Stegostoma tigrinum: one gene and its partners. The protein of the gene in region 1 interacts with the protein of each later gene in a pairwise test. Links are inferred from orthologs where the notes say so. Each region holds a gene or a part of one and is shown in the gene's direction. Other genes may lie near its edges. The genes, in order: cdc5l, KAT8 regulatory NSL complex subunit 1-like, kalrna and myelin transcription factor 1-like protein.

Region 1 (7,421 bases):
AGGATAGACTAGATATGGACAGAAGACGTTCTTCCCTAAAGCACATTAGTAAACCAGATGGATTTCACACAAAACAGCAGCTTTGGTTGTCACCATTACTAATAAGCTTTTAATTCCTTCTTTTAAAATTTAATTTATGAATTAAATTTGAATTCCCCATTTACAGCAATGGGAATGAAATTGATGCCTGTAGAACTGGAATACTAATCTAATTGCAAAACCACAATGCCACCATACACTTAAAGGCAAATTTCATTTTCTGATCAATCTTAATTGGATACAATGTTTCTTGATGCTGTTTCCATGATAATTCTGAATTAGTTCCACTATGCTTGTCAAATAACATGCCATAATAAAAGTAGAGGAAATATTCCTAGAAACTAATCTGACAATTAAGCCAGAGTACACGTTGGCTGATATTTGGCCAAAACATCTGGAACCACATTAGAATTTCGTACAGGGTAGACAGATTTATAAGAAAGACATTCAAATCAGATAAAAAAAAACTATGGTTGTTAATAGTTTTAAAACGCCAATAGCATTGAACTCTGCTATACTCAGTAAGCTTTGTATAACAGCTCATGAATATCAGTGCTGACTAATAGGTCTGTCACAGTGCAGACTATGCTGCCACTGGAAGAATGGCTTTTTTTCATTTCAAACTCCACCTCACTATCTTCGTTAAATAACTAGGGCAGTACGTTGCACTGCATTGTGCCATTACTGCAGAATGTGCAACCTAGCTGAGAGTATCCTTAGGGGAATTTCTGCGAAGGATATGCCATGGTGGGGGTGGGGTGAGGTGATCTTCCTTTTTTTTCGCCATGCCTCTTATGAGATTTTTTGCTCGACCCACTAACGGACGTCGAAAAAAAAGGAAAGCATTCCAGATTAGCACTCAAATATTTCCCAGTCATCAAGTGTCAATGCTCCTGAGATGCTGCTTGGCCTGTGTTCATCCAGCTTCACACGTTATTACTTTCCTGTTTTCTCAGTAGGGAACGGCACGATGGAAGAAGCTAAAATTAAACCAGCTATATCCAGGACCCATTTGAAAAACACAACGTCATCACGAAATACTCAATAAAAACTAGCGAATTATATAACAGTAACACAGTTGAAGAGTTCAGATTACACTGTGAACAACAGACTGCAGCTCAGGCACTTCAAATGGAAATCTCCACGTCTGTGTAATTGATTTACAAGGGAGCGAATTCTGTTTAAGATACAGACCCGACCGCTAAAATCTCCCTAAAATTAAGCGGATTACTTTTTATCCACAAATAAAACGATCAGAATTTTCAACGTTTCTGACATTTTCGACGCTAAATTCAACAGGGATTATAAACTTTTGACCTGACCACTAGAGGCGGGGTATGTCCATCTGCTGCTGCATGTGTGGAGTGTACCTGGTGGGGTAATCTTGGCACCCAGCAGCAGGAGCCTGGCCTGCTCCTTCTTGCGGGACCTCTCGACCTTCACGGGGAAGACGATGGGCACATTGTTCATGTAGGTCTTCTTGCCTCCAGCAAAGTGGGCGTCGCAGACTTTGTGATGGGTTTTGGGCTGCCACACGCTGAATTTTCTCTCGTCCAAGCGCGACAGGTTTCTGATCCAAACGCCGCGCAGCGTCTCGTCCTTGGGGAAGACGTGAAAGGAGAGCTCCTTGTTCTTGAGTGTGTTGTTGAAGCAGCCCGGCACACAACAGTAGGTGCCCACCATGGTCACCGGGAACTGGCCTGGGTCTGGGGAAGGGGAGGAGGGTCAGTGTGGAACTCACATCCCAGCCTGCACCGCGGCAACGCCGGCGGAACATGCGCACTGCGTCGCCGTCCTCACACCAACCTCCCCCACCAAACATTCCAGGGCATCATGGGACTCGTAGTTTTCTTCCACCTACCACCCCCCCACCCCAAAACTGTCTGAAGTTCATCTCACCACTATGACCCACACAACTTTAAAATTTACCCCAGTCGACGTGCAAAAACACGAAGAGTTTCAGGGAAACACATACACTAAAAAGGGGAACATGATTTAGGCAGCATTGGATGGAAATGAAAAGTTAATGTAAAACAGAGAACATAAGATGCTGGAGATCTGAGACACATAAAGATAGAAATTGCTGGAGAAGCTCAACAATTCTAGCAACATCTAAAGAAAAACCAAAAGTCTTAACGTTTTGAGTCCAGTGACCAGGTGTCAAGAAACTTTAATGGTTGATACAGTTGTTAGACAGGCTGGCAAGATGGGCTGAACAGTGGCAAAAGGAATTTAACCATGAAAAGTGAGGTGTGATACATTTTAAGAGGACTAACAAGGCGAGGGAGTACATGTTGAATGGTAGAGCCTTAAGAAGTACAGAGAATCAGAAGAATTTTGTGTGCATAACCACAGTTATTTGAAGGCCGCAGGACAGGTGGATATGGTGCTTTAGAAGATTTAAGGGAGACTTGCTTTATTAGTTGAGACATTGAGTACAAGAGGAGGGAAGTAATGGTTGCTGTGTATAAGATATTAGGTCACAGATGAAGTAGTGGGTACAGTTCTGGTCACCAGACTGTAGGAGGAATATGATTGTACCAGAGAAAACTTGTGTTGAAGGTTCATGAAAAATATTATTAAAAATGGCAAGTCTGCACTGGAGGAAAATGGAACAAATAGAGAATGCTGGAGAAACTCAGCATGTCTAGCGACATCTGTGGAAATAGAAACTGAGTTAATGTTTTGATTCTGGTTTGACCATTCTTCAGAAATGGAGACAGAAAGCAATGAACATGCTAAGGCTGAAAGATTAAAAGCGAAGGCCTGATGGCGAGAAGAGCAGAACTTCATCAAAATGGGCATATCTGGAAGTAAGGTGGCAGTGAATTATACACTCGAAAGGACCAGTTCTGAGGAAGAGCTCTGGGTTGAACATGACTGAGAGCTGAGATGGTACGGTGGCTCAGTGGTTAGCATTACTGCCTCGCAGTACCAGGGGCCCAGGTTTGATTCTAGAATTTGGTGATTGTCTGTGTGGAGTTTGCACATTTTCTTATATCTGCATGAGTTCCCTCTTGGCGCTCCAGTTTCCTCCCACAGTCCAAAGATGTGCAAGTTAAGTGGATTGGTCATGCTGAATTGCCCATACTCTCCAGGATGTGCAGGCTAGATGGATTAGCTGGGGGAATTGCAGGGTTACAGAGATAGGGTAGAGGGCTGCAATGCTCTTCAGAGTGTTAGCATGGACTTGATGCGCCGAATGATGTGCTTCCACACTGTAAGGATTTATGATTATATCCTATGATTCTAGGAAGAGATTCAACAGGATGTTACCTGGACTGGATTAATTTAGCTATGAAGAGAGACTGAGAAGGCTGGAGATATTTTCCTGAGAGTAGAGAAGGCTGAGAGGGGACCTGATTGAGGTGTACAAAATTGCAAGAGGCATAGATACAGTTGGTTCAAAGAAGCTTCTCCCCTTGTTAGATGGACAATAAATTTAAGGTAAGGGACAGGAGATTTAGAAGGGATTTGAGGAAACTTCTTTCAGCCAAAATGTGGATGTGTATCAGCATGACTAATACTGCTGGGACAGGTGGACAATAGGTGATGAGGCCTCCTGGGCAAGTGCACAGGTAGAGCAGAAGCCATGCATATTTAATGCTGTGGGAGGTTAGGGGAAAGAAGGATGAATGAGTGAAGATGTTGAAGGCTATAGTAAAAGTGATGGAACTTGACTCTTGTTGCACAGTCAGTGTAGTAGCAGAGTGATTGAATTTAAGGTAGCAGAAAGTAGAGCAGAGCACTTACGCTGTCAGAGCAATGAAGGTCAGCGTTCCTCTATACCACTGAGGCCGCAGTGACTTAGACCAAGCTGCCAGGAACTACCCTGGAGCTTGGTAAGAGAACCCTTTCAATAAACCTGCCTCAGCAGAAATTTATGCTCTTCCTTCACAGAAACACCAATCTTGACTAAGCAGCCTCAGTATGAAAAAGTTGCCCACAAGTCCCTTTTAAATCGTTCCCCTCTCAACTTTGAGGGCATTGGTTCTAGGTGAGAAGGAGAAGACTTCAAAGGGACGGAGGGATAATGTCTTTACACAGAGGATGGTGCATGAATGGAATTAATTGCCAGAAGTAGTGGTAGATGCACTTATACAGTTACATTTATAAGACATTTTGACAGCTACGTGAGTAGTAAAAGGATATGGGTCAAACGCAGGGAAATTAGGGTAGATTAGTTTGGGAAAACTAGTCGGCATGGACGAGTTGGATCGAACGGTCGTTTTCCCACGTTGCATGACTACCCACAATCAAAGATTTGTTTATTTACGATGATGCCGTTGCAAAGTGATCTGTCCGGTGTAAAGTTGAGAGGAGTGGAATGGGTGCAGTGTCAGTCAGCCAGGCTTGGCGGCGCTCTTGGTGGCGGCAGCGGGCCACCTTGGGAGCGCTGTGTTGTCCTTGTCACCTCATCGCCCGTTGCTGCACCTAGGGCCGGAGGTTTATCACCGGAGTTGGGTTCAAGTTTGGTTAAATAACTGAGCTCCTTCCTAACCGTTTGCAGCTGCCGAGGATTCCCTCGGACCAGTCGCTGACTGCCAGGATGCCGCGGATAATGATTAAAGGAGGTGTCTGGAGGAACACGGAGGTGAGTGGTGAGGCCTGTGTGACAGGCCCGGAGACTGGGGTCTACCCCTTTCCGCCGGGCCCAGAGACGGGGTTTCCTTCCCCCTTGTCCGAGCTGATGCTAGCATTTCCCGGTTGCATTTCACTGTTTTCACCGTGCGACGTCAAGTATTTTGATCGTCTTTTTCCCTTGCCACGGTCAAAATTACACCAAGTTCTTGGGTTTCTTGTTAGTTGGCGGCTTGATGCAGTAAAAATTTCTCGTGATTTAGAAACTGATTAATGTCGCTCTTTTAGGGACAGTTTTTCAAACGGTCAGAAATTGACCTTGGAATCACTGACTCCTTTGCTGTGCACCAAACCAATTTCCGCATCAACTTAAGTCCTTCAATGGTAACTTTTCTCAATTTCTTCCCCCTCACCTGAGGTATGGTGACCTGCAGATGAACTACCACCAATCGTCTTCTAATAAAAGCACTGCCCTATGGTCTGCTAAGACAACGGCGATTTTTACCTTTATTACATTTCATCTTGCGCGGTGGTGCGGCTTGAAGTTCTTTTTCACACACCTGCATGTTCTTCGAATCTGTGTGATCTGTGAATACTTGAAAATGGGTGCCAAAAGTTAAGTTTTACTTCCTTGCACTGACACATCATAATGCTAAAGAAAACACTGACGGTTAGAGTTCTAAATCCAGGATGATCAATTGAATTATAAAATCCATGAATCTCAAAAAGTTAGCATCCATGTTCGGGTGGATAATAGTGAAGGCGAATAGAATGTTGATTTTTTTTTAAATTCCAAAGGGAATGGATTATAAAAGTGTGGGTGTTCTGCTAGAAATATTCACCGCAACTAGAATGTTGTGACGTTATCGTTAGGAAAGATATATTAGCATTGGAAACAATATGGAGAAGGTTTTGTAGGCTGATACTGGATATGGACGGAATGTCTTATGAGGAGAAGTTGAATAAAGTTGGGTTTGTACTCACTGGAATTTAGAAGAATGAGACGTGACATTTATTGAAACAAAATCATTCTTAGAGGACTTGACGGCAGATACGGAAAGGTTGTAGCGAGTTTTGAGAAGATTTGTAGCTCAGGTTGAGGTTCTGGATGTGAGATTGCTCGCTGAGCTGGAAGGTTAGTTTTCAGACGTTTCGTCACTTTTGTTTTATTTGAAAAAATATACTTTATTCATAAGATGTACAAAAAATAAAACATATTTATACACCTACCCTGTCATGCAAGCCGCTCTGGGTTACCCAGGGGGTACATACATCAACTAAAAGGAAAAAAAACAAAGCAAAGAAAATACCCCGGCAGTTGTCACCCTGCACAGTCCCAGTTGGCCCCCTGACCAGTTGGGGAAGGCGCCAGCTGGGCCCAGGTACCAGATAGGGCCCTTTTTTCTATTCTGGACGAGGGGTTTCATACCGTGGTCTTTCCCCACCGCGCCTTGGCGGCGGCTGCCCCAAGCTTTAGCGCATCCCTCAGCACGTAGTCCTAGACCTTAGAGTGCGCCAGTCTGCAACATTCGGTCAGAGTCAGTTCTTTCAGCTGGCAGACCAAAGAGCGTCTTTCACCGCATTGATGGTCCTCCAGGCGCAGTTGATGTTAGTCTCGGTGTGCGTCCCAGGAAACAGCCCGTATAGCATGGAGTCCTGCGTCACGGAGCTGCTCGGGACGAACCTCGACAAATACCACTGCATCCCCCTCCAGACCTCCTGCGCATAGGCACACGCCAGAAGGAGGTGATCAACAGACTCATCCCCGCCGCAGCCACCTCGAGGGCAGCGTGCGGTGACGCAGAGATTCCGGGCATGCATAAAGGATCTCACTGGCAGAGCCCCTCTCACCGCCAGCCAAGCAATGTCCTTGTACTTGTTTGAAAGTTCTGGCGATGAGGCATTCTGCCAAACGACTTTGGCAGCCTGCGTGGGGAACCACACGATGGGATCCACCCTCTCCTTTTCCCAAAGGGTCTCGAAGATACTACGTGCTGACCACTGCCTGACGGCCTTGTGGTCAAAGGTGTTTCCTTTCAAAAATTTCTCCACGTAGGACAGGTGGTACAGAACAGTCCAACTACTCGGAGCGTTCCGCGGCAACGAGGCCAGGCCCATCCTTCGCAATACTGGGGACAGGTAGAACCTCAGTAAGTAGTGACATTTGGTGTTTGCGTACTGAGGATCTATGCACAAAGGTAGCCGTCAGGGCGAGGGTGGCGTTCGGTACGCCCTTTCCCCCCCATTTCCCAGGTCTTTGTACATGGTGTCCCTGCGGACCCGGTCCATCCTCGACCCCCAAATGAAGTGGAAGATGGCCCGGGTGACTGCAGCGGCGCAGGTCCAGGGAATAGGCCAGGCCTGCGCCACATACAACAGTGCCGAAAGCCCCTCGCACCTGACAACCGGGTTCTTACCCGCGGTGGAGAGGGACCGGAGCGTCCACCTGCCCAGCTTCTGCTTCAATTTGGTGATACGCTCCTCCCAAGTCTTAGTGCACGCCCCAGCTCCACCAAACCAAACACCCAGCATCTTCAGGTAGTCCGTCCTGACAGTGAAGGGGATGAAGGAGCGGTCATCCCAGTTCCCGAAGAACGTGACCTCGCTCTTACCCCTATTGACTTTGGCACCCGAGGCCAGTTCAAACTGGCCGCAGATGTCCAACAGCCTACTCACCGAGCGACGATCGGTGCAGAAGACGGCGACATTGTCCATGTACAGGGAGGTCTTGACCTGAAGGCCTCCGCTGCCTGGGATAGTCACGCCCTTCAGGCTCACGTCCTTCCTGATGGAGACAGCGA
Region 2 (7,826 bases), on another chromosome or scaffold:
GACCTACCTAAAAATGAGCTATCAACCTGGTGAAACTACCAAACAGGTTTACTTGCACACCAGACAGCATAAGTAGCAAGTGATAGACAGAGCTAAGTGATCCTACATCAGATCTAAACTCTGCAGTCCTGCAACATATAGTTGCGAATATTGGTGGACAATTAAACAACTCACTGGGGGAGGAGGCTCCACAATTATCCCCATCCTCAGTGATGGAAGACCCCAATGTATAAGTGTAAAAGATAAGGTTTAAGAATGTTCAGCAATCTTCAGCCAGAGGTACCGAGTGGGTGATCCATTGTAGCCTCCTCCGACTGTCCCCAGCATTTTAGATATTAGTCTTCAACCAATTTGATTCACTCCAATTCACATGATTCCTTCAGGGAATGGTCTTGTTGAAAATTGTAAGGATATATTCATTTTGGGCTTTTGTTTCGGATAATGGCCCTACACAATCTACTAGTAAACAAATGAATGTCTCCTCAAAAGCCAGTGTGGGAATCAGGGGAGCTGGTCTCATTACATGTTGCAGTTTAGTGACAAATCATCAAGAATGGCATGTTTTACAAAACTGCACCTCTCTATGTAAATTTGACCAGGTAAGAAAACCTGTTTATGAATAGCTTTCAGAGCCCCATATGTCCTGCCATGGGCATTTCACGTACCACTCAAAATCCCCCTATGATAGCTGAGTGATATCTCTACCTGATGAACAACGACACATTTTTCATCTGCAGGTCTGTGAGGGACTCCACTGCCTCATTCTCACTTTAAATAGCACTCTGGGTCTCCTTCAGCATCTACCTCAAGATGAATTGGCTGTGATAATTTATTTAATTCAGGATCTGCTTCTGAGTTTGAGATAGTGAATTCATTGTAGCTTCAAGGAGGTGGTCACACTGCAGGTTTAGTCATATAGATTGGTGACCACCAGGAAAGGTAGGCAAGTAATGCAAGGGTCTCCTGTGGCACCTCTCAAATAAGTTGGATACTGTTGGGGGGATAGCCTCTCAGGGGCAAAATAGCAGCAGCAGCCTGGTGTTTGGCACCACAACTGGATCTGCTGTAAAGATGGGTATGGCAAAGAATTATGATAGCGAACTGTATAGTCAAGGGCATAGACATTTCTGTAGCTGCAAACAAGATTCCAGGAATGGTGTGTTGCCTCCTTTGTGCCAGGGTCAAAGACATCCCAGAGCAATTCCTGGAAATTTTCAAAGGAAAGTGTGAGTAGCGAGAGGTTGTTGTATACATTGGAATCAATGATATAAGCACAAAAGGGGATGAGGTCCTACAGAGTGAATATAAGGAGTTAGGCAGGAGGTTAAAAAAACAGGGCCTCAAGAATAGTAATCTCTGGATTATTCCTGGTGCCAGGTGCTTGTGAGAGTAGGAGTAGGAGGATAGGGCAGATGAATGTGTGGCTGAGGACACAGGGCAGGGGGCAGAGATTCAGATTTTTGGATCATTTGGATCTCTTTCAAAACAGGAATGACTAACACAAGAGGGGCAGGTTGCACCATAATTGGAAGGTGACCAATTTGCTGGTGGGAGATTTGCGAGAGCTATTCAGGAGGGCATAAAATAGGCCGGCAGGGGTTGGGACCCTAAGCAGTAGTGAGAGAACAGAGATGGTTGAGGCTGGTACAGAAGCTAAAGAGATCAAGTTAAGTAGATAAGGCAGACAAGAGCACGACAGGGAATGAGGGAACTGCATTTATTTCAATGCAAGAGACCTGACAGGGAAAGCAGACCCGAAATGTCAACCTTCCTGCTCCTCTGATGCTGTTTGGCCTGGCTGTGTTCATCCAACTCTACACCTTGTTATCTCAGGGCATAGATGGGCACATGGGTCTGGATATTGTAACTATGACAGACACATGGCTGAGGGAGGGACAAGACTGGCAGCTCTGTTCTGGGCTGCAGATAATGTAGGAAAGAAAGAAAGGGAGATAAGAGAGGGGGAGTGGCATTTTTAGGGAAAATATCATGACACTTCTTAGACAGGATATTCCTGAGGGATTGTCCAATGAAAGTTATGTGAGTGGAACTGAGAAATAAGAAGGTGGAGATCACTGTAATGAGATTGTACTGTAACCACCACACCCACCCCCAACAGTCAGAAATTGAGGAGCAAATATGTGGGGAGATCACTGACAGGTGTAAGAATAATAGTGCTGTAATAGTGAGGGATTTTAACTTTTCAAACATTGACTGATATAGTGATAAGGGCTTGAATGGGGAAGATTTTGAAAACTTAATCAATATGTAGATGACCATACAACACAAGGTGCAAAACTTGGCCTCCTTTGGGAAATAAGGCAGGGCTAGTGGCTGATATGTTAACAGGGAAACACTTTGAGACCAGTGACCATAATTCTATTAGTTTTATTTTTGTTATAGAAAAGGATAGGCCTGATTCACATATTAAAGTTGTAAATTGGGGCAAGGTCAATTTTGATATATTAGACAGGAACTTTCAAAAGTTGATCGGGGAGGTCCGTTCATAGGTGAAGGGCTATCTGACAGGTGGGAGGTTTTCAAAAGTGAGACAACAAGAGTTCAGAGCCAGCATGTTCCTGTTGGTATGAAGGGCAAGGCTGGTAGGGGTAGGGATAGGGAACACTGGATGATTAGAGATATCAAGATTCTGCTCATGAAAAAGAAGGAGGCATATGTCAGGTATAGTCAGCTGACACCAAGTGAATCTGTGGAAGACTATGTAGCAGTACATTTAAGAGGGAAATCAGAATGACAAAAAGGGACGTCATTGTAGATTGGGTAAAGGAGAATGCAAAGACATTCTATAAGTATACAAATAAGTAACAAAGCAGAGAAGAAGGCCCCCTAAAATTCAACAGGCTGTGTATGCATAAAGACACGGGAAATGGATGAGATCCTCACCACATATTGCACTGCCATATTTACTGTGGATAAAGATATGGAAGCTCGGGAACTCGGGGATGTAAACAGTGATGTCTTGAAAAAAGGTCCAGCATTACAGAAGAGGAGATGCTGGAGATCTTAAAATGTATAAAGGTAAATAAATCCCTGGGACCTCATCAAGTACATTACGTTAAATTAGATTCCCTACAGTGAGGAAACAGTCCCTTTGGCCCAACAAGTCCACACCGACCCTTGAAGCATCCCACCCAGACCCATCCCCCTATGACCCACACACTTCTGAACACTACGGGCAATTTGGCATGGCCAATCCACCTAACCTGCACATCTTTGGACTGTGGGAGGAAACCGGAGCACCCGGAGGAAACCCACGCAGACACGGGGAGAATGTGCAAACTCCAAACAGACAGTTACCCGAGGTTGGAATCGAATCTGTGTCCCTGGTGCTGTGAGGCTGCAGTGCTAACCACTGAGCCACCGTGCCACCCTCAGGACATTGTGAGAAACTTGGGAAGAAATTGCAGAGTCCATAGCAGAGATCTTTGTACCATCAACAGCCATTGGTGAGGTGCTGGAAGACTGAAGGTTGGTTAACGTGCTACTAGTTGAACAGTAACTATAATAACTAGTTACAAAGGCTGCAAGGAAAATCCAGTGAACTGTAGACTGGTGAGCCTCACGTCAGTGGTGGGTAAGGGATTTTGAGAGAAGGATCTACATGCGTACGTAAAACCGAGACTAGATTACCGAGGAAGATGCTGGATAGGCTAGGACTTTTTTTTCCCCCTGAAGTGTAGGAGGCTGAGGAGTAAGTTCGTCGAGATCATAGAAGCGTGGGGCGCATAGATACGGTGAATAGTACCAAGTACCCTCTGAATTCTTTCTCTGCTAATCTGACTATCCCAATCTACATAAAAATTAAACTGACCTCAAAGGCTAAAGTCACTAAAGGTTGGTACAATGCGTTTGTTACTTACCCTTATTATTTCCGGATTTATTCAGTGCAAACGTATCGCTACTGTTAGATTGCCTATAGACCATTCCGCCCAGTGGCTTCTTTTCCCCTTGTTTTCTTTTAACCTGAACCTATACTGATTCTACGCACAGAAAAAGAATAGACAAAAAGTTCAGAGGGGAATAGAAGAGGAAAAACGAACTTTAAGTTTAAAAGAAAAATCAGGAACAAACTTGAAGACCGACTATCGGCTTAAGGTTCACCATCAGGGCTCTATAGTTAAACCTTCAGTTGTGATCATGAGAGTTGTGTGCCTGCTCGAATATCACGTTTGTCGAGATCTTTTGTGTAAAGGAGAAATTTGCCTCGCTTTTCCAAAAACACTCACAAAAGGTCATCATCACTCTTGGATAGAGACAAGAACATTCTCTTGGTTGAGATAGCAAGAATTGCAGATTCTGGAGACGGTGGTAACAAGGTGTAGAGCTGGTGAATCACAGCGGGCCAGGCAGCATCACAGGAGCAGGAAAGTTGACCTTTCTGGTCGGGACCCTTCTTCGGAAACAGTCTCTTAGTGCTCAGTGATAAAAAATAATGGGAACAGCAGAGGCTGGAGAAAGTCCCTGGGCCCGCAACCCTACCCATATCACCATAGGTCCGCCCCTGCACATGTAGCTCCGCCCTAGAGCTTTTGGCCTCGCCCTTGGGCAAGTTGTTCCGCCCCGGTGTCGTTGCGAATGCCCTTGACCACGTAGCCTCGCCTCTGAGCATGCAGCACCCCATTATACTTGTAGCCCCGCCCCTGATCTTGTGACTACGCCCCTGGCAGTGTAGCCCCGCCCCAAACAACGTCATCCTGTCTCGCCCCGGGCATGTAGCCCCGCCCCTGGGCTTGTGGGTCCGACCCTAGCTGTGTAGCCCCGCCTCCTGGACATGTAGCCCCGCCCCCTTGGAGAGGCCCTTCTCCTCCGGAAAGCCCTCGATCTTCGGAAGCGCGCCCCGGGCCGTAGAGGCAGTTTGGCCTTGTCTTGGCCTCACTTTGGGCCCCGACTCCTACCGCAGACCTTCACCCTTTCTTTCCTCGGCTGCATTTCTGTGATCGGGTTCCTCCCCCAGCTCTCGGCTGGTGCTGTCACTGGGGACAGGATGAGAGCTGGGACAGGGGACCGGCTTAGGAGGTTGTCGGTGCTGGAGCATCCTCGGAGCTCAAGAGTTTGTGAGGCCGGCGCTCGCCCTCTCCTCACCCATTCGATCTTCACCGATCCGGCGGCGGGGGCTGAGGGGAATCAATGTGTGTGGATGAGGCTTGGGAAAACGGGTGTGGACGTTATAGAGAGGAGAGAGACGACCAAACGAAGATGTGGTGATGGAGAAATGTGTCCTTCCACGATGATGAATGAGGTAGGGTTGAGGATCAAGGATAGGGAGAGGTGAGTGGAAGATCGGGATGGCTGAAAGCGTGTGATGGTGACCGAATGGCACTGGTGTTTGGGATCACTGTTGTTGAATATCAGATGTTGAGTTTGGGTATGTGTGGAGCAGGGTGGGTGCAAATCTGTGACCCTCTCAGTAAACATTCTTGTGGGGATGAGGACCATAAAATGAGAGTCTCAAAGTTGACGTAAAATTCAGACATGCTTGGGTCTCAAACTGGAATCTTCAGATCTGAAACTAATTGCATTGATATCAGGGATGAATGAACATTTGTCGATAAGAAATTAGATTAACGTGTTTTATAGTAGATAGGAGATTTTTCATTCTTTTTAATTAATAGAATTTGGCTGTCACCAACCAGCACTTATTACCCAGCTATACCTGCCCTTGAAAGTTGGTGTTGAGTTGCCTTCTTGCACTATCACAAACTATTTGCTTTATGTACTCATATAATGCCATAAGGGATGGAACTTTAGGGATTTTAATCCAGTGACATTGAAGGAATGACAATATAGTTCCAAGTCAGGATAGTGAATGGCTTGGAGGGGAATATGCAAGTGGTGGTGATCCCAACTATGCTGCCTTTGCCCTTCTAGATGATAGTGTTATTGGGTTTGGAAGGTGCTATTGGAGGATATTTGGTGAATTTCTGTAGTAAATGTTGTAGATAATATGCACAGTTGGTGGTGTGGGGAATGGATGTTTGTGAATGCGGTGTCATTCAAGTGGGTTATTTTGTCCTGGATGGTGTTACCTTCATGGCTGTTGTTGGAGCTCCACTCATCCAAGCAAGTGGGGATAATCCATTACATTCCCGATTTGTGCCTTGTAGATGCCTAGTAGATGATGGAGAGAGAGATAACAAGCTGTGGAGCTGGATGAATACAGCAGGCCAAGCAGCATCAGAGGAGCAGGAAGGCTGACATTTCGGGCCTAAACACTTCTTCAGAAATGGGGCAGGAAAGGGGGTTCTGAAATAAATAGGGAGAGAGGGAGAGGCAGATAGAAGATGGATAGAGGAGAAAATAGGTGGAGAGGAGACAGACAAGTCAAAGAGGCAGGGTTGGAGCCAGTAAAGGTGAGTGTCGGTGGGGAGTTAGAGAGGGGATAGGTCAGCCCAGGGAGGACGGACAGGTCAAGGGGTGGATGAGGTTAGTAGGTAGGAGATGGGTATGGGTCTTGAGGTGGGAAGAGGGCATAGGTGGGTGGAAGGACAGGATAGGAAGGCAGGGACAAGCTGGGCTGGTTTTGGGATGCAGTAGGGAGAGTGGAGATTTTGAAGCTTATGAAGTCCACATTGATATCTCTGGGCTACAGGGTTCCCAAGCAAAATATGAGGTGCTGTTCCTGCAAACTTCGGGTGGCATCATTGTGGCACTGCAGGAGGTCCAGGAAGGACATGTCGTCAAAAGATTGGGAGGGTGAGTTGAATTGGATCATGACTGGGAGGTGCAGTTGGTGAGTGCAAACTGAGTGTAGATGTCCCGCAAAGCAGTTCCCAAGCCTCCGTTTGGTTTTCCCAATGTAGAGGAGGCCACATCAGGCACAGCAGATACAGCATACCACATTAGCAGATGTGCAGGTGAACATCTGCTTGATGTGGAAGGTCTTCTCGGGCCTGGGATGGGGCTGAGGGGCGACGTGTAGGGGCAGGTGCAGCACTTCCTGCAGTTGCAGGGAAAAGTGCCGGGTGTGATGGGGCTGGAGGGGAGTGTGGAGTGGATAAGGAGTCACGGAGAGAGTGGTCCCTCCAGAAAGCAGATAAGCGTGGGGAGGGAAAATGTCTTTGGTGGTGGGGTCGGATTACAGATGGCGGAAGCGTTGGAGGATGATGCGTGGGTTGGGTGGTACGTGAGGACGAGGGGAATTCTTTTTTTAGTTGTTATTGCGAGGATGGGGTGTGAGGGATGAGTTGTGGGAAATGTGGGAGACACGGTCAAGGGCGTTCTTGACCACTGAGGAGGTGAAGTTGTGGTCCTTATAAAACGAGGACATCTGAGATATTCGAGAGTGGAATGTCTCATTCCTGGGAGCAGATGCAGCAGAGGCGAAGGAATTGGGAATAGGGGATGGCATTTTTGCAGGGAGATGGGTGGGAGGAGGTGTATTTTAGGTAGCTGTGCGAGTCAGTGGGCTTGAAATGGGTATCAGTTTCCAGGTGATTGCCAGAGATGGAAACAAAAAGGCCCAGAAAGGAGAGAGAGGTATCAGAGATGGTCCAGATGAATGTAAGGTTGGGGTGGAAGGTTTTGGTGAAATGGATGAACTGTTCGAACTCCTCGTGGGAGCACGAGGCGGCGCCGATATAGTCATTGATGTAATGGAGGAAGAGATGGGGTTTAGGGCCAGTATAGCTACGGAAGAGGGGTTGTTCCTCATAACCTACAAAGAGGCAGGCATAGCTTGGGCCCATGTGGGAATCCATGGCCACCCCCTTAGTCTGTAGGAAGTGGGAGGAATTGAAAGAGAAGTTGTTAAGGGTGAGGATGAGTTCACCTAAGCAGATGAGGCTGTCAGTAGAGTGGGACTGGTC
Region 3 (7,225 bases), on another chromosome or scaffold:
TTCATAAAACTCAGCAAAGATCCTTTCCAGTGAGAAAGAACGTATCTAGGGTACAGCCACCTAATCCATGCCTAATTTAGAAAGTTAAATACAGTATAAAATTTCAGAGAATAGGGCATACATAGCAGGTCACAAGATTGGATAGAATGTTTAACAATTAGTACAGTAATAATATAGAGGGAGAAATTAGAGTATGAGGAAAAGCTCACTAGAAATGTAAGATCAAAAGTGTTCTTACAGGTATTTACAATAGAGAAATAAATAAAGTGAATACTGGTTCTCTACCCAGTGAACCTGGCAAGTTAATAATGGAAAATAAGGAATGGCAGTTGTATTGAACAGATATTTTGTATCTACCTTCACTATAGAATATAGGAATAATACCTCAGAAATAAGTTTACATAAGACGTGAAAGTGAGGAAAGATCTTAAAATTACAATCACCATTGAAGGGATACCGAGAAAACTCTGAACTAAAAGCTGACACGTCCCCAGGTTCTGACGGACTTCATATTAGGGTCTTAAAAGGAGTGGTTGCTGAGATAGTAGATGTATTTGTTTCAATTTTCCAAAATGCTCTAGATTCTGAAAAGGCCTAATTTTAGAAAATAATGTATATAACCTGTCCATCAAGGAAGGATGGAAACAGAAGCAGAAAATAACAGGCCAGTTCGCGTAACAACTGTCATTAGGAAGAATGCTGCAATCTATCATTAAAGTAGCTCAATGCAATCAGGTAGCATCGACATGGTTTTATGAAAGAAAACTCACATACAATTCATTCATTAGTCTTTAGATTAGATTAGATTAGATTCCTTACAGTGTGGAAGCAGGCCCTTTGGCCCAACAAGTCCACACCGCCCCTTGAGGCATCCCACCCAGACCCATCCCTCTATAACCCACGCACCCCTGAACACTACGGGCAATTTAGTATGGCCAATCCACCTAGCCTGCACATCTTTGGACTGTGGGAGGAAACCGGAGCACCCGGAGGAAACCCACGCAGACACAGGGAAAACGTGCAAACTCCACACAGACAGTCACCTGAGGCTGGAATCGAACCTGGGTCCCTGGCGCTGTGAGGCTGCAGTGCTAACCACTGAGCCACCATGCCGCCCCTTTGAGTAAATAAAGGGGAACCTATGGAGGTGGCAAACTTAAATTTTCAGAAGGCATTTGACAAGGTGTACCATCAAATGTTTCGACACGAAATAAGAGTTTATGGTGTTAGAATAACATGTTAAGATATAGGAGCAGAATTAGGCCATTCAGCCCAATGAGTCTGTTCCACCATTCAATCATAGCTGATATGTTTCTCAACCCTATTCTCCTGCCTCTTCTCCATAACCCTTGATCCTGTTACCAATCAAGAATCTATTTACCTTTGTCTTAAAAACCACTCAATGACTCGGCTCCACTGCCTTCCATGGCATTGAATTCCATAGATTAACCTCCTCCTTGCAAAAGAAATTCCTCCTCATCTCAATTCTAAAGGACCATCCCTTCACTCTGAGGCTGTGCCCACAGATCCAAATTTCTCCTACTAGAGGAAACATCTTCTCCATGTCAACTCTATCCATACCTGTTGCTATTCTGTAAGTTTCAAATGAGATCCCCCACTTTGAGTACAGACCCAGAATCTTCAACCATTCCTCATATGACAAACCCTTCATTCATTAAAAAGGAATAGAGAATTTGTTGGCTAACTGGAAATGGGGAGTCATTTTTGGGTCAATAAAATACAATGAGTGCAGTGCCACAGGAATTGGTGATTCAATTTCGACCATGTATTCAATATGTTCAATATTTATAAAGAACTTGGAAAATAAAACTGAACCAATGCTTGCTAAATTTGATGACAGCACAAATATAGGTAGGAAGGAAAGTTGTGAAGATAGCAGAAGGAGTCTACTAAGTGATATGCATAAGTTACATGAATGGGCAAAAATGTTGGCGGGTGGAACATAATGTGTGTAAATGTGAACTTGTCCACTTGAGTAGTAAGGATAAAAAAATGTTATTTAAATTGGAGAAGATCTCAGAATGTTAAGGTACAGAGAGAGGTGGGTGTCCTGGTACTTGAATTACTAAGAGTTAATATTCATGGACAATAAGTGATTAGGAAGGTAGTTGGAAAAATGGGGTATTATTGTATCTTGCAAGGGGAATGGAATATAAAATTTCGGATGTTGTGTTACAGTTGTACAGGGTATTGCTTAAACGATAGCCACAGTTACTGGATACAATTCTGGATTCCTTATTTAAGAAGGATCATAGTTATATTTGTGGCAGTTCAAAGAATATTTATTTGACTGATTCCTGGGATGAAGAGTTTACCTTACTGAGAAAGGTCAAACTTGTTGGGCCTGAATCCATTGGACATTAGAAGAATGAGAGGTGATCTTACTGAAGCATCCTGACAGGATTTGACAGGATGGATGTTGAAAGCAGAGACTTAAAACTGAAAAAGACGGGATCCCCATTTAGGGCAGAGATGAAGTTGAGGATAGGCAGGAGAAGTGGGTTAAGGCCATAAGCAGATCAGCCATGAGCCTATCAAATGGAGGAACAGATCTGACCACCAATAGCCTACTTCTGCTACTTATTCATATGTTCCTATGGAATGGTGGGAGTTAACTTGCAGGTCTGCAATTAGCCAGGACTTCTAGGCGTCATTGCTGACTAATATTTCACTGTTGAAAACTAAACTCCCCAAAATTAAACCATCACTTACCAGCCAGTATTAAGACCCACAAGTGAAGAATAGTCAAAAGGGCTGTAACTCGGAATGGATGTACATCTGAGCTTCAATCATTAGCCCAGGGACGAGGGAGAGTGGAAACTGGAGAAATACCGAGTTGATAAAAAAAAAGTATTTGGGCTTGGTTGCAATTTTGTCACTAATATAGGGTGGGCCAATGTAAAACATGACATCATAGCCAATATGATTTAAACTACATTACGCCCATTAACTTCTTATAAAATGTGTAACCAATACCTGTAAACGTCTAGACGGCTCTTTTCTGGCGTTGATTTAAATGGCAGCTTATTAATAACACATAATTCAAGCATCGCACTGATGTTTCTCTGTTATGGGTCAATGCCTTTTTACTGCGCTTACGCCGTTTCTTAGCAACTCAGTGACCGCATAAATGATTTGCCTACGCTCTGACCTTGCCCATCAGCCTGAGTGTGGTCAGTCTGAGTAAGTTCTGTACCCGCTGCACTGTGGGCAAGGTCAAATCCCACTCATTATCGATAGCCTGAGCTAATGCACAACAAGCACCTCCCATGAGTCATCTAGACTCGAAACCTTAGCTTGCTCTCTCTCCACGGATGCTGTCTGACCCGCTGTGATCTACAATAAAAAAGACAAATGCTTTCAATATACAGTTGCATTGTGGAAAATAATAAAACAACCCTGTGTATCACTGACAAATTTATGTCCCTTCGCTTGTTTACATCACATGGAGACATTCCGCGTAAATTCAAGGAGAAATCGAAATTGGTGTGATGAATGAATCCACACTTGCTGAGGCTGATGTCAAGCAGATGGGCTATGGTTACAGGAAGTATTTTGGGGACAACAGGTGGGCTTGGGTCTTTAGGGAATGTGTTATTCCAGCTACTCATTAACTCGGTTACAAAGACTACAATCTTTACAGCGATTTGGCTTTTGTTTTGAATCAATTCTTCAAAGTTATTAAAGGGATGTACCTAATAAAGTAAGATAACAAGGTGTAAAGCTAGATAAACACATTACCTAAAAAGTAATATATTTTTCCTTGATCGATATTGGCAAATGTACTGATATTGTAATGAGAGCATTTGCGCTGCTTTACAGAGAAGCGTGAATGGGTGAACAGTCCCAAAAATAATCTTTGAAGCAAACCTGATGTGTTTGATACAACGTAACGCCAGGATGACTTTGTGATTGCCTTATTGGGCAAGTCAGTCACAGATTACTATCACTTTCAATCACATTATAGTTGTGCATATAGACTAACCCCCGCCATTTTGCATAAAATAATTTAATTTGGATCATATTCTAGTCTGAATTGTTAAATGCGTATGGTGTATTTATTGTGCACAAGATTGAGAAAAGTCGGATGTGGTTCAGTGCACCGACAAACGCTAGAGGGCGCAATGCGGCCACTCCTCGGCACACAGCGAAGTTGCAAATCACAGGGACAGTGATCTGTGTTAAATGAGATTTGAACCATTCGGCTCAGTGAGTGAATAGTTTGTTCAAGCAAGAATCCGATCTCCCTTTGCTGTCCCAGATCCCCAATATCTGTTTACTGACACCCGCTGCCTCTCAACGGTCTTTGTCAATGCTCATTTCCTTCAAATTTCTTGTAACCGCACACCCATAAACAAAATGCAGACAGCCCGAGGGCCGGTGTAACTGTCTCCCGGCCTCTTGTCATTGGGATCACTTCCTTCGAAGGCTTCAGTGAGCTGGTTACATTGAAGTAGGCTGCAAGGAAGGATTTAATTTCACTGAATTCGTCAATGATGCAAGGCCTCTACGGGGGATATTTCAAGTAGTGGCAGGGCTCCGGAACTGTCCGCTGGTGAAAATGCATTGAGCTTGCCCATGTGTAGTCTATTGTTGCTCTTGTGACGCTGCTGTTGGGGAGAGGAGGGCGCCTTTGAACAATAGAGGACAAATACAGAGGCTTTTAGTCGAGCACAGCCTTTTCCAAAACACCACTGCTTAACAGCACCGAATATGGAGCCTAGTCTGCAGTAGAAGTGGATGTAATTTGTTGTATTTCTGCATCGAGTCAACGATGAATTCCGCAGAAGGGGCAGACGAATGCGTCAACGATGGTGATATTGCAGCATTTTTCAAGACAGGTAAGTGGGGATATAATGGGGAGGAGAGGGGCAAAGAGCTTTGTGAGGGGTGGCAAGTGATTTCACCCTCGTTCAATGCATGAAGCAGCATCTCCAGTATTACTATCACAATCCACGAGTTTGTGTGGCCGCTGTCAGGCCGACTCGCCCACTGTATTCATGCGTGTGTGTACATTGAACAATGAAACTGTTTCAGGAAATCTGATGCTGGAAAAGAAAATCTCGGATGAAGTCTTTGACAACTGAGATGAAGATAACCAGCAGTGGCCTTTTATTTACTCTGTCATGTTTTTGAAATTGCGATGATGATAACATTTTATCACTGTAAATGGAAAGGAACACTGATGTTGTCTTGCTGTAATGACACTCCTCAGTTGCCAGGCTAAGGCAGTGCTAGTAGCAATGAAACGAAAGCTCAATGGCGCTTTGTGCCTCCTAGGAAATCAAGATTGCATCGTTTGAATTTTAACCAATTCATGTTGTTTGTAAAACTAAGCGCTGTATAAATTTTACTGATTTGAAATTCTTATTTCTGAGAACGGTATTATGTGCGATAGATACACTTAATAGCATTTCAAACAATAAGATACTATAGTTATATAGTCAATAGTCGATATTGACTATAGTTAAATTATTTCAACAGACAACCTAGCTAGCTTTATCGTGAATGTGTGCCCTACCGTTTTCACTGGCCTGGAAGTTGCCATCTAGCTACATCTCAAATACCCATTGCAATATTAGCTCTCAACACACGCCAACAGTGTGGCTTGTAGGATTTGCTGATGGAGCGTAAGGACCGCCTTCACTGCTCATTTTTAGAGATGTTACAGCTATATTCAAAAAAATGTCAAGGATTACAATTTGTAATCAATAAATATGATAGCTAACTTTCTGCACTCAAAGACTGGGTCCTCCCACACCCCCTTTCAGTGAACAAGGTTACAGGCAGCTTACAACCACCTTCTCAAGGACATTTTGGGATGGGCAATAAATGCTGGTCTTGCCAGCGACGTTCACATCATCGTGAAAGAATAAAATAACTATAGTGATCTAATTATTTTCTCTTTATACAACATGCTAATGTTCACAGTGCCTGTAGTGAGACATCACAGTATGAACCGCCGATACTTCTTTCACTTTAATACCACTGAAACCTGATTATTTTTCCATCGTAATGATATGTAATAATCATTGTCTTAATAGCCACATTAACATACACATCAACAGCAGGTACAAAGGATTTGTGATTTTTTTGGAGTAAAACTCAAGGATTTGCCATAACTCTACCACCACCACCATGTTTCAAGGATTTAAAAATGACAGCTACTCCCAGGCTGTAATGGATTATTCTGCCCTTTTCAAAAATATCTAATTTTACATTTGATGTTGTGCCTCAAGTCATCATTTGCTAGCATGTCTTTTTATAATGGCCCAGGGTCAGGCATGACAACTGACTGACAGTGAGTGCATTTTATCTTCATCCATGCTGGCTTGTGGGTGATGGATGCACAGCTGTTGCTCCCCAGCATGCCAAAGGTTAAAAATAACAGACATCATGGAGGTACAGGGCTGCTCTTGTCATGTTCTATTGTTCTGAAAATCTTATTAAGATATGTCAATGTTGAATGATGACTTTGAAGTTTGCAGATTCTTGTTAGTTGGTAGTTGCCTTTGTAGTTCCATGATTTGTATCCACTTAGGCCATAAACAAACTTGCCTGTCATATTTGTGATTATAGGCTGTTTAGGAAGTTTGCATATGCACTCACATTCTCAGCACAGTTAGTTTAATAATCAAATGGGTGGATTTGTTACACCCCTAGTGTCACACCCCTTGTTGATGGCTGACCATAAAGTTATGGAGAAAAATTGTTCATTTGCAGCTTTCAGTAGTGTGATAGACACTAATGCTACACATAGTTGAGTTACACCTATTTCAGAATCCATGACTGAATACAAATTGAAACCATGTTCTTGCCTGGTCTATCTCAATTTTTGATATGTTGACAAGAATAATAGATGAACACTGGGCAACCTGTTACATAGGTAGTGTAATGTTGATATTTCTTTAGGATGACTCCATTCTTGTATACAGAGTTGTGATAACACATGCAGCATTGCTAAAGTTTAAATAACTCATGAACTAATGTGCTTCCGTCAGCAAATGCGCATAGCCATACTTAGCAAATGTGCCTTTTGTAATTGCTGTTAATAATTAAAAGTAATAATCAGTAATTAAATTCAGTAATTCTTTGACTTTAAGACAGTTTGTTAGTCTTGTAATATTTATACTATTACAGAATCCATTTTTATTAACATTATTTTGTTTAAAAAATTTTCAAAAATTGGACAAAGCAATCAAAG
Region 4 (6,945 bases), about 35 Mb from region 1:
CTCTGCTTAATATGGAAAGTCATCTTGGGGCCTGGGATAGGGGTGAGGGAGGAGGTGTGGAGGCAAGTGTAGCATTTCCTGCGGTTGCAGGGGAAGGTGCCGGGTGTGGTGGAGTTGAAGGGCAGTGTGGAGTGAACAAGGGAGTCACGGAGAGAGTGGTCTCTCCGGAAAGCAGACAAGGGTGGGGATGGAAAAATGTCTTGGGTGGTGGGGTCGGATTGTAGATGGAAGTATACAAGTTGTTTTATTTTCAGATATTTAATATTTTGAATTTTCTTTTAAGGCTGCACAATGTCAAACTTTGAAATCAGATCCATTAATTGAGCAAGTCTTCAAATCTCTGCATTATGTTTTAAGCTGTTCACAGAAAGGATTGGCCATTAAGATCCTATTTCTAATGTTCTGTAAATGTACTCCTTAATACAATGGGCTATGCATTTATTCAATCACCTGGGTGCCTAAACTTGTGTATGGCATATTGTCCACAACTATTGCTTGTATCTTTGACTTTGGACATTACCCAATGTTACGGCCCCCCAAAAAAACAGTTTTCCGAAAATTGCTTTTCCATAATCTTGCATTGTTAGGCTGAAAATACAGCCTCAGTGCTAAAAGAGCAGATGGCACTAACATTGCCGTATGCCACCTGAAGAAACCCACTTTTTCAAATGGCCCTCTATGCCTCTAATGGTACTAGTTGCAATGTTATCTCCAAAGGTATCCTATGTATGAACTCAGAGCTATATTACTGTTGCAGCATAAACCATTACTAATTTGAATATATTCTTACTTTGTTCAAGTATTTAAATGACTATTAGCCTCAATTATGAACAATTGGTCTCGTATAATAAAGTTGTGCAAAAAAGAAACAAAAAAGAAAGAAAAATGCACAAATTATTCAGCACTTCTCACAACCTCGGGATCTCAAAGTGCTACATTGAAAGTCAGCACTATTCTTTGAATGGTCACTATTATAGTGTAAGAAATGTGCAGTCAATTTGTACACAAATGTGTAATGGAAATATAATGAGATAATTTTTTTAGTGATGTTTGTTGAGGGAAAAGATATGGCTAGGAGATCTAGAAGGTAGAAGCCAGAAGCTAGAAGGAAGTAAGTTTTTCCGCAAATGTCCAAAGCCCTAGTTATGCCACATGTGAAGTACTGTATGTCATTATGGGAGCCATGATGTGGAAATGCCAGGTGGACAAAGCCAGAACATAGAACATAGAACAATACAGCGTAGAACAGGCCCTTTGGCCCTCGATGTTGCTCCAACCCATGAACTAATCTAAGCCCCTTCCCCTACACTATCCCATCATCATCCATATGCTTATCCAAGAAGTCACACGACACCAGGTTATAGTCCAACAGGTTTTGTTTGAAATCACAAGTGTTTGGCATGCTGTTCCTCCATCAGATGAAGTGACTTCACCTGGTGAAGGAGCAGCGCTTCAATAGCTTGTGATTTCAAATAAAACCTGTTGGACTATAACCTGGTGTAATGTGATTTCTGAAGTTATGGGATACATTGGAACGAGTACAGTCTAGATTTGTCAGAATGTCTTTGTTTTCATTTCTTCGGTCATGGCACGTGGGCGTTGCTGACTGACCAGCATTTATTGCCCATCCCTAGTTATCAGGGTTCTAACGAGAAATTACATAAACTAAGCTTGTATTTTAAACCTGGGATTGATAGAGTTTTGCCAGCCATGAGTATTGAGAGTTGTATATGGAGCTAAGGCAGGGACCTGAAGTTAGATTATGGAACAGCCATGGCATCATTGTTTGGGGAACAGGGTGAATTACTGTTGCTTATTTCTCTGTTCCCAGGACATAGAACTTGTGAAAACAGTCAGGGACTTGATTTAATGTCTCATCTGTAACACAGCATTGCAGACAGTGCAGCATTCCCTTGTTATAGTGTTCTGAACACATTAGATCATAGAAATGACAAGGGTGCATAATTTCAATGTCAACATTCAATATGGCAGAAAGAGACTATTCCACATGGTGGCAGGATTAATGACTATGTGAAATACCTTTAAGGTAAGGGGCGAAAGGTCTCAAAGGGATGTGCGGAAAATCCCCTTCACCCAAAGGGTTGGGAATGTGGAACTCACTGCTTGTAAGGATGGGAGAGGCAGAAAAACTTAAAACATCTAAGAATTATTTAGACCTCCACTTGCAATGCGAAGACAATGAAAACTTTGGACCAAGTGCTGGAAAATTTGACGAGAAATGTTAAGTGGTCGTTTTTGATTGGCACAGACTTGATGGGCTGAAGGACCTTTTTTCAGTCATGTACGTCTCCATGACTCTATGACATTTTTTCGCTGTGTTAATGGATTCCCCACTGAAACCCATCCAGTGGACAGAAGTGCATTGAGCCTCCTCGCCGCAGTGAAATTTATTAGGGTTGTACCTACATAACACTTCCACTGAGCAGCCTTTAAATTTTACTCATAACGTAGGAAGTGATTTTATTGAATGGAAAGAATGGGATTTTTCAATATCTGCTTGAGAAATATTTATTATGCATTTATATAAGGTGTGAAAGTATTGTTACAGTGGTCGAAAATATATAAACGCGAGTTTTTTGGGGCACGAACAAATTTCTCCAGCCGCACCATTGGATTTCACAGCGAGTGAGTTGGTTCCAGTTTGTGTTTCTGGAAGGGTTGCCGTGCTCCTCCCTTCATTTATTGTGTGAGATTAGGCTGCTCGCTGACAGTACGGGAGCAACAGCTTGCAGGATATGGTATTCACGTCAGTTTCAGGGAGAATATTGCACTGTGTGCCTCCCAATGCAGCCGAGTGCGTAGGGGTGCAGCTTCAATCTTCTCTGGACTGAAAAATCCAAGCTGCCATATACTTAAAAAAAACAGACTGTAAATGATTCCTATTCCTTGGTTCACAGAACATCCGATGCGGTGCCCAATCAGCTGAAAAACCTTCACAGACGTCAGTGGCTGTTTTGAACACTGGTGTCTGCAGCTGCTCGGAAAGTGGAGCCTCCATTACAGCGTCTCTATTGATTTCTGAATTAAAATGCACAAGAGCTCGCCGCAGAAGCACAAGCCCAGAAAACGGCAGGCACAGCTGAGGAGAAAAGTCACACGCCTTTTTTTCACCCTCTTCTCCCCCCCGCCCCCATTCTGTGTCACAAGGACTTTGCCTTCGGTTCAAAATTTGCTCGTATTTTTGTTTATTTGGAAGACCCCAGACACCTCTCAATTTGGTCTGCCTGTGTCAATCAGTCGAGGTGCCTTGCTGCAAGCGTGCACGCCAGTCAGGCAGTGAGGCGCAGTAGTTCCGCCCAGACGTGTGCCTTTGCCATTTTTATTTTAATCAGTTTGATCAGGATGTCTGCTGATTCATTTTGCAGGACAGCCCCTTGAGGACCGGGGTGGAAGCCTGACGCGAGCCACTGTTGCATCATTGCAGCATTCTATATCAGCGAGACTGCAGCAAGCACGGATTAATACCTAGTATTTAAATCAAAACCCACCCCGATACAGTAAACCATGCCCAACCCCCAGTCAAAAAGCCAAAAAAAAACAAAATGCAATTTGCAACAAAGAAAGCTTAGGAAATAACTGCTTCGATGAACAGGGCGATATTTTGTAAGAAAATCCATAATCATTCATTCACAAAAAAACCTAGAAAATTCAAAAATATAGATTAACTTGCCCGCTCTACCTGTTTCAGAGTGCGTGAATTTCAGAACTGACAGCCTTATTATGCAGCACCTCTTATTGATATTATTCTGCTCCCGGTTGCCATGGCCACATAGCAAGAGACATTCAATTTTCTGTGTTCCATCATCATTATCTATGAGGCCATCTGTTGTGGAAAATGAATTCAGTCTCATTTGCATGACTGATAAGCATTTTTTTTATCTATTTAACAGAAGGTCATATGCCGGGGATTTGAAGCTGGTAAAAAGATGTGAAAAAAGCCTATCGAGAGGATGAGTGGGAGTGTGTGCATTAGTGGATGTATGTGGAAGTATAACAGATCCCTTAGGCCTGGTAGCCTATCGTGCTGCATTTGTCATCCTTGCCAAGGCGACATTTTTACCTAGGCTTCTACACAGCGAAGAGTGTTGTTCCCTGCAGTCTGGTTCAAGTCACAGTATTTTGCTTATCGTGGTGGGTGTAGTTCAGTTCTCTCTTGTTTTTTGCTTCCCAATTTTTCTGGAGAGTCTTCTCACAATCAGATATTGCTGATGTGGGTTTGATGAGATTCCTTGCTTTTTTATTTGTATCTGTGCTGTGCTCTAGTAACTGCGTTGAATGAGAATGTAGGAATAACACAGGCAGCGTCGGCTGTGATCCAGTTATATTTGGGCAATGGTTTAAAAAAATGTAATGAAAAATGGTCTTTTCTGTGAAAATGCTGCATAATGCCCTTTGAGTTTATTTACTGAATCCAGTGGTCCTATCCTCAGTTGTGTTTGTTGGTTACTTAATGATAGCTGTGCACCCTATCCTTTTTGATACAATACTTAGACATCTGCCTTCCAATCTTGTGGTAAAACTTAGTCATTGATTGTTATTTGTTGAAGCAATATATTTGGTATGAAGTCAGGACACACACTTAAAAGTGTTTAGAAGTTGTTGTATTTGCATGTGCCTATAAGTATTTGCTGCCATATTTTCAAATACCTAGCTCAACTTATCGTAAGTAAAGAAAGCCGACTATGTTATTAAACAAATATCAAAACATATTCTGGGTTTCCATAAATTTTCAGACATGTAAAATAGAAAAGACAGAGGGCTTAGAATTAGAGGCAGCAGATTTAGGCCTTAAGCTGAAACTATCAAACTTGAGCTATATGATGGAACTTTCAAAATGCTGTTTTCAATTTGCCTCAATTCTAACTTCACAAAATTAGCTTTAATACTGCAAAGTTCTAAACAATTCTAAATCACAGTTAATATATAAAGGGTAAACTTTAAAATAGTTTAGAAGTTCTCTTAAAACTATACAAAATATAATTAGTTGGTCTTCATAAAAGTTTACCTTTAAATATTGCCACATCACATTGACATCGAGCACCATAATTCTCAGTGCCCCTTTTACACAGATATTATTACTTTGCAAATCTTTTATTGCTTTACTCTGGAGCTGCTTAATATTTTCAAGCATCTGTGTACTGCAGAAGCAAAAAAAATATTCGATTGCTTCTAAGCTTGGGAATCACTAGTGACAGCTTCGGGTTAAATAAAGTATGGTGCTACAGTTCGCCGTTTTCTTTTGTCTGTCATTTTTTTTGGAAAGTAACTTTTGATTTGTTCTAATTCCAACATTAATTTAACTAATGTGATAATGTAAGGACGTACGCTTATCTACTATTAATCTGCGAGCATTGCTCTTTGGGTTTATACATCAGTCTATTTGCCGGTTATTTTAAAACATAGCTTCAGTTGGAAAATGTGTCTGAATGGCCCGTCAGCACTAGGAGCTGTCCATGGCTGACGTCCTGAGCTCTGACTGACCCCCTACCGGCTAACAGGCAGACTGAGAATTACTCTTTGCTTTACCTTCGTAATGCGTCATGCCGATTTGTTAGCTCAGGATGTTTCGTTGTGTTGGGGGGCTTAATAATGCATCTAGCGTGCTCCTTCCTGTGACAGGTGCAGAATATATTTTGAACATTTTAGTGCTATTTTAGAATGCTGCTTGTCTGAAGTCTTAATTGTAAAACCAATTAAATCGTTTGTGTAACTTTACTATAAAACTTTTTAAGATCAAAGTAAGAAGTATTACATTGGATATCTGACAGTATTGATGAAGATACTAGCACAGAAAGATTAATATAGGAATTAACTTAGGATACAGCTCAGTGAATCATAATTTCCTAATTATATCTCATTTATGATTTAGAATCAATGCATGTGCAGTGCTTAAAATATTTTAAAAATCTCTTATGACGAATAACAAACTTAAGAGAATATTTAAATATTAAATATTTTGCGGTCAGCATACTGTTGTTGTACTGTTGTGTCACAAATATTTTTTATGATTTTTATAATTGGAGATACAATGTATTAGTTCACTTTGAGGTGGGATAGCTTTGGAAGTTTATGTTCCTAATTTGGTTGACAAAAGGAATTGTCAAATGTGTTTTCCAAGGTGCAAAGGAAATTAGTGCTCAGATGTTTAACCTGATAATTCATATACTTCAGCCAATTTTAAAAGAAGTAATGATGTGATGCAGATCACTCAGATTGTTACCCTAATCTGTACTATCTCTAAAGCTCAAAACTCTAATTTTCTTCTAGTAAGTTGGTAGTTTTTATTTTTGTTGACTTGATTGACATGCCATAAATATGAATTTAATGTATGGCCTTTTGCAAATTTTTGAGTTTTTAACTTTACATCACGAGGCTTTTTTTGTTCATATTTTCAGCTTTTCCCTATATTACATTATATACAGTACTGCACATAATACCAGGCACATACAGCTCCACAGAGTCAAAGACCCATGGGTACTGTATTAGTAACACAAGGTATACAACCCCAAACCATGGTCTAGTAGAATCGACCACAGAATTATTGACAGTGTTAGGAAACACTTGTCACGTATGCTTCTATTGTTCTGATATCCATGAAATTTTGGCCACACATTTTGATTTGGATGGAATACAACTTTTCCTGATGTGAGACTCTAGCTAAGGAAGAGGTAAGTCAGCAAGATGCTGGTGATTTTAAACTGCTGCAGAAGGATTGTCTCTTAAGGGAGCTCATATTCGATGCATGCTACATAGCTTGGCTTTCTGCAGTCTCTTGTCTGTCTGATGCCCTTAAGCTGAGGTTGTGTTTGATTCAGCAGCCATCACGGAGTATGTGCACTTACTCTTTTGCTCCCTTTTATTGTTGTTTCAAACTATGAATTTTCAGCTTCTTTCTCGGCCTGTTGATATTTCCACTAGGACTAT

The links.
Region 2: the proteins of cdc5l (region 1) and KAT8 regulatory NSL complex subunit 1-like interact in binary tests that used the Homo sapiens proteins (3 or more experiments, as listed by UniProt). The link is inferred for Stegostoma tigrinum from reciprocal best matches to the Homo sapiens genes CDC5L and KANSL1.
Region 3: the proteins of cdc5l (region 1) and kalrna interact in a two-hybrid assay, tested with the Homo sapiens proteins (2 studies listed by BioGRID and IntAct). The link is inferred for Stegostoma tigrinum from reciprocal best matches to the Homo sapiens genes CDC5L and KALRN.
Region 4: the proteins of cdc5l (region 1) and myelin transcription factor 1-like protein interact in a two-hybrid assay, tested with the Homo sapiens proteins (2 studies listed by BioGRID and IntAct). The link is inferred for Stegostoma tigrinum from reciprocal best matches to the Homo sapiens genes CDC5L and MYT1L.

Annotation. Positions count from the first base shown.
Region 1 is NC_081357.1:76,296,485-76,303,905, reverse strand, and holds the start of cdc5l (cell division cycle 5-like protein), read left to right. Parts: upstream 1-4,421; 5' UTR 4,422-4,588; coding exon 4,589-4,633; intron 4,634-7,421. Other genes in the region: protein downstream neighbor of Son-like, read right to left, coding at 1,410-1,722.
Region 2 is NC_081384.1:40,721,222-40,729,047, reverse strand, and holds the start of KAT8 regulatory NSL complex subunit 1-like, read left to right. Parts: upstream 1-4,825; 5' UTR 4,826-5,260; exon of another isoform or gene 5,261-5,289; intron 5,290-7,826. UniProt on the Homo sapiens protein: Non-catalytic component of the NSL histone acetyltransferase complex, a multiprotein complex that mediates histone H4 acetylation at 'Lys-5'- and 'Lys-8' (H4K5ac and H4K8ac) at transcription start sites and promotes transcription initiation.
Region 3 is NC_081360.1:53,269,247-53,276,471, reverse strand, and holds the start of kalrna (kalirin), read left to right. Parts: upstream 1-4,219; 5' UTR 4,220-4,795; coding exon 4,796-4,862; intron 4,863-7,225. UniProt on the Homo sapiens protein: Promotes the exchange of GDP by GTP. Activates specific Rho GTPase family members, thereby inducing various signaling mechanisms that regulate neuronal shape, growth, and plasticity, through their effects on the actin cytoskeleton.
Region 4 is NC_081357.1:110,908,413-110,915,357, reverse strand, and holds the start of myelin transcription factor 1-like protein, read left to right. Parts: upstream 1-3,924; 5' UTR 3,925-3,939; intron 3,940-3,951; exon of another isoform or gene 3,952-4,152; intron 4,153-5,611; exon of another isoform or gene 5,612-5,640; intron 5,641-6,482; exon of another isoform or gene 6,483-6,689; intron 6,690-6,832; exon of another isoform or gene 6,833-6,849; intron 6,850-6,858; exon of another isoform or gene 6,859-6,945. UniProt on the Homo sapiens protein: Transcription factor that plays a key role in neuronal differentiation by specifically repressing expression of non-neuronal genes during neuron differentiation.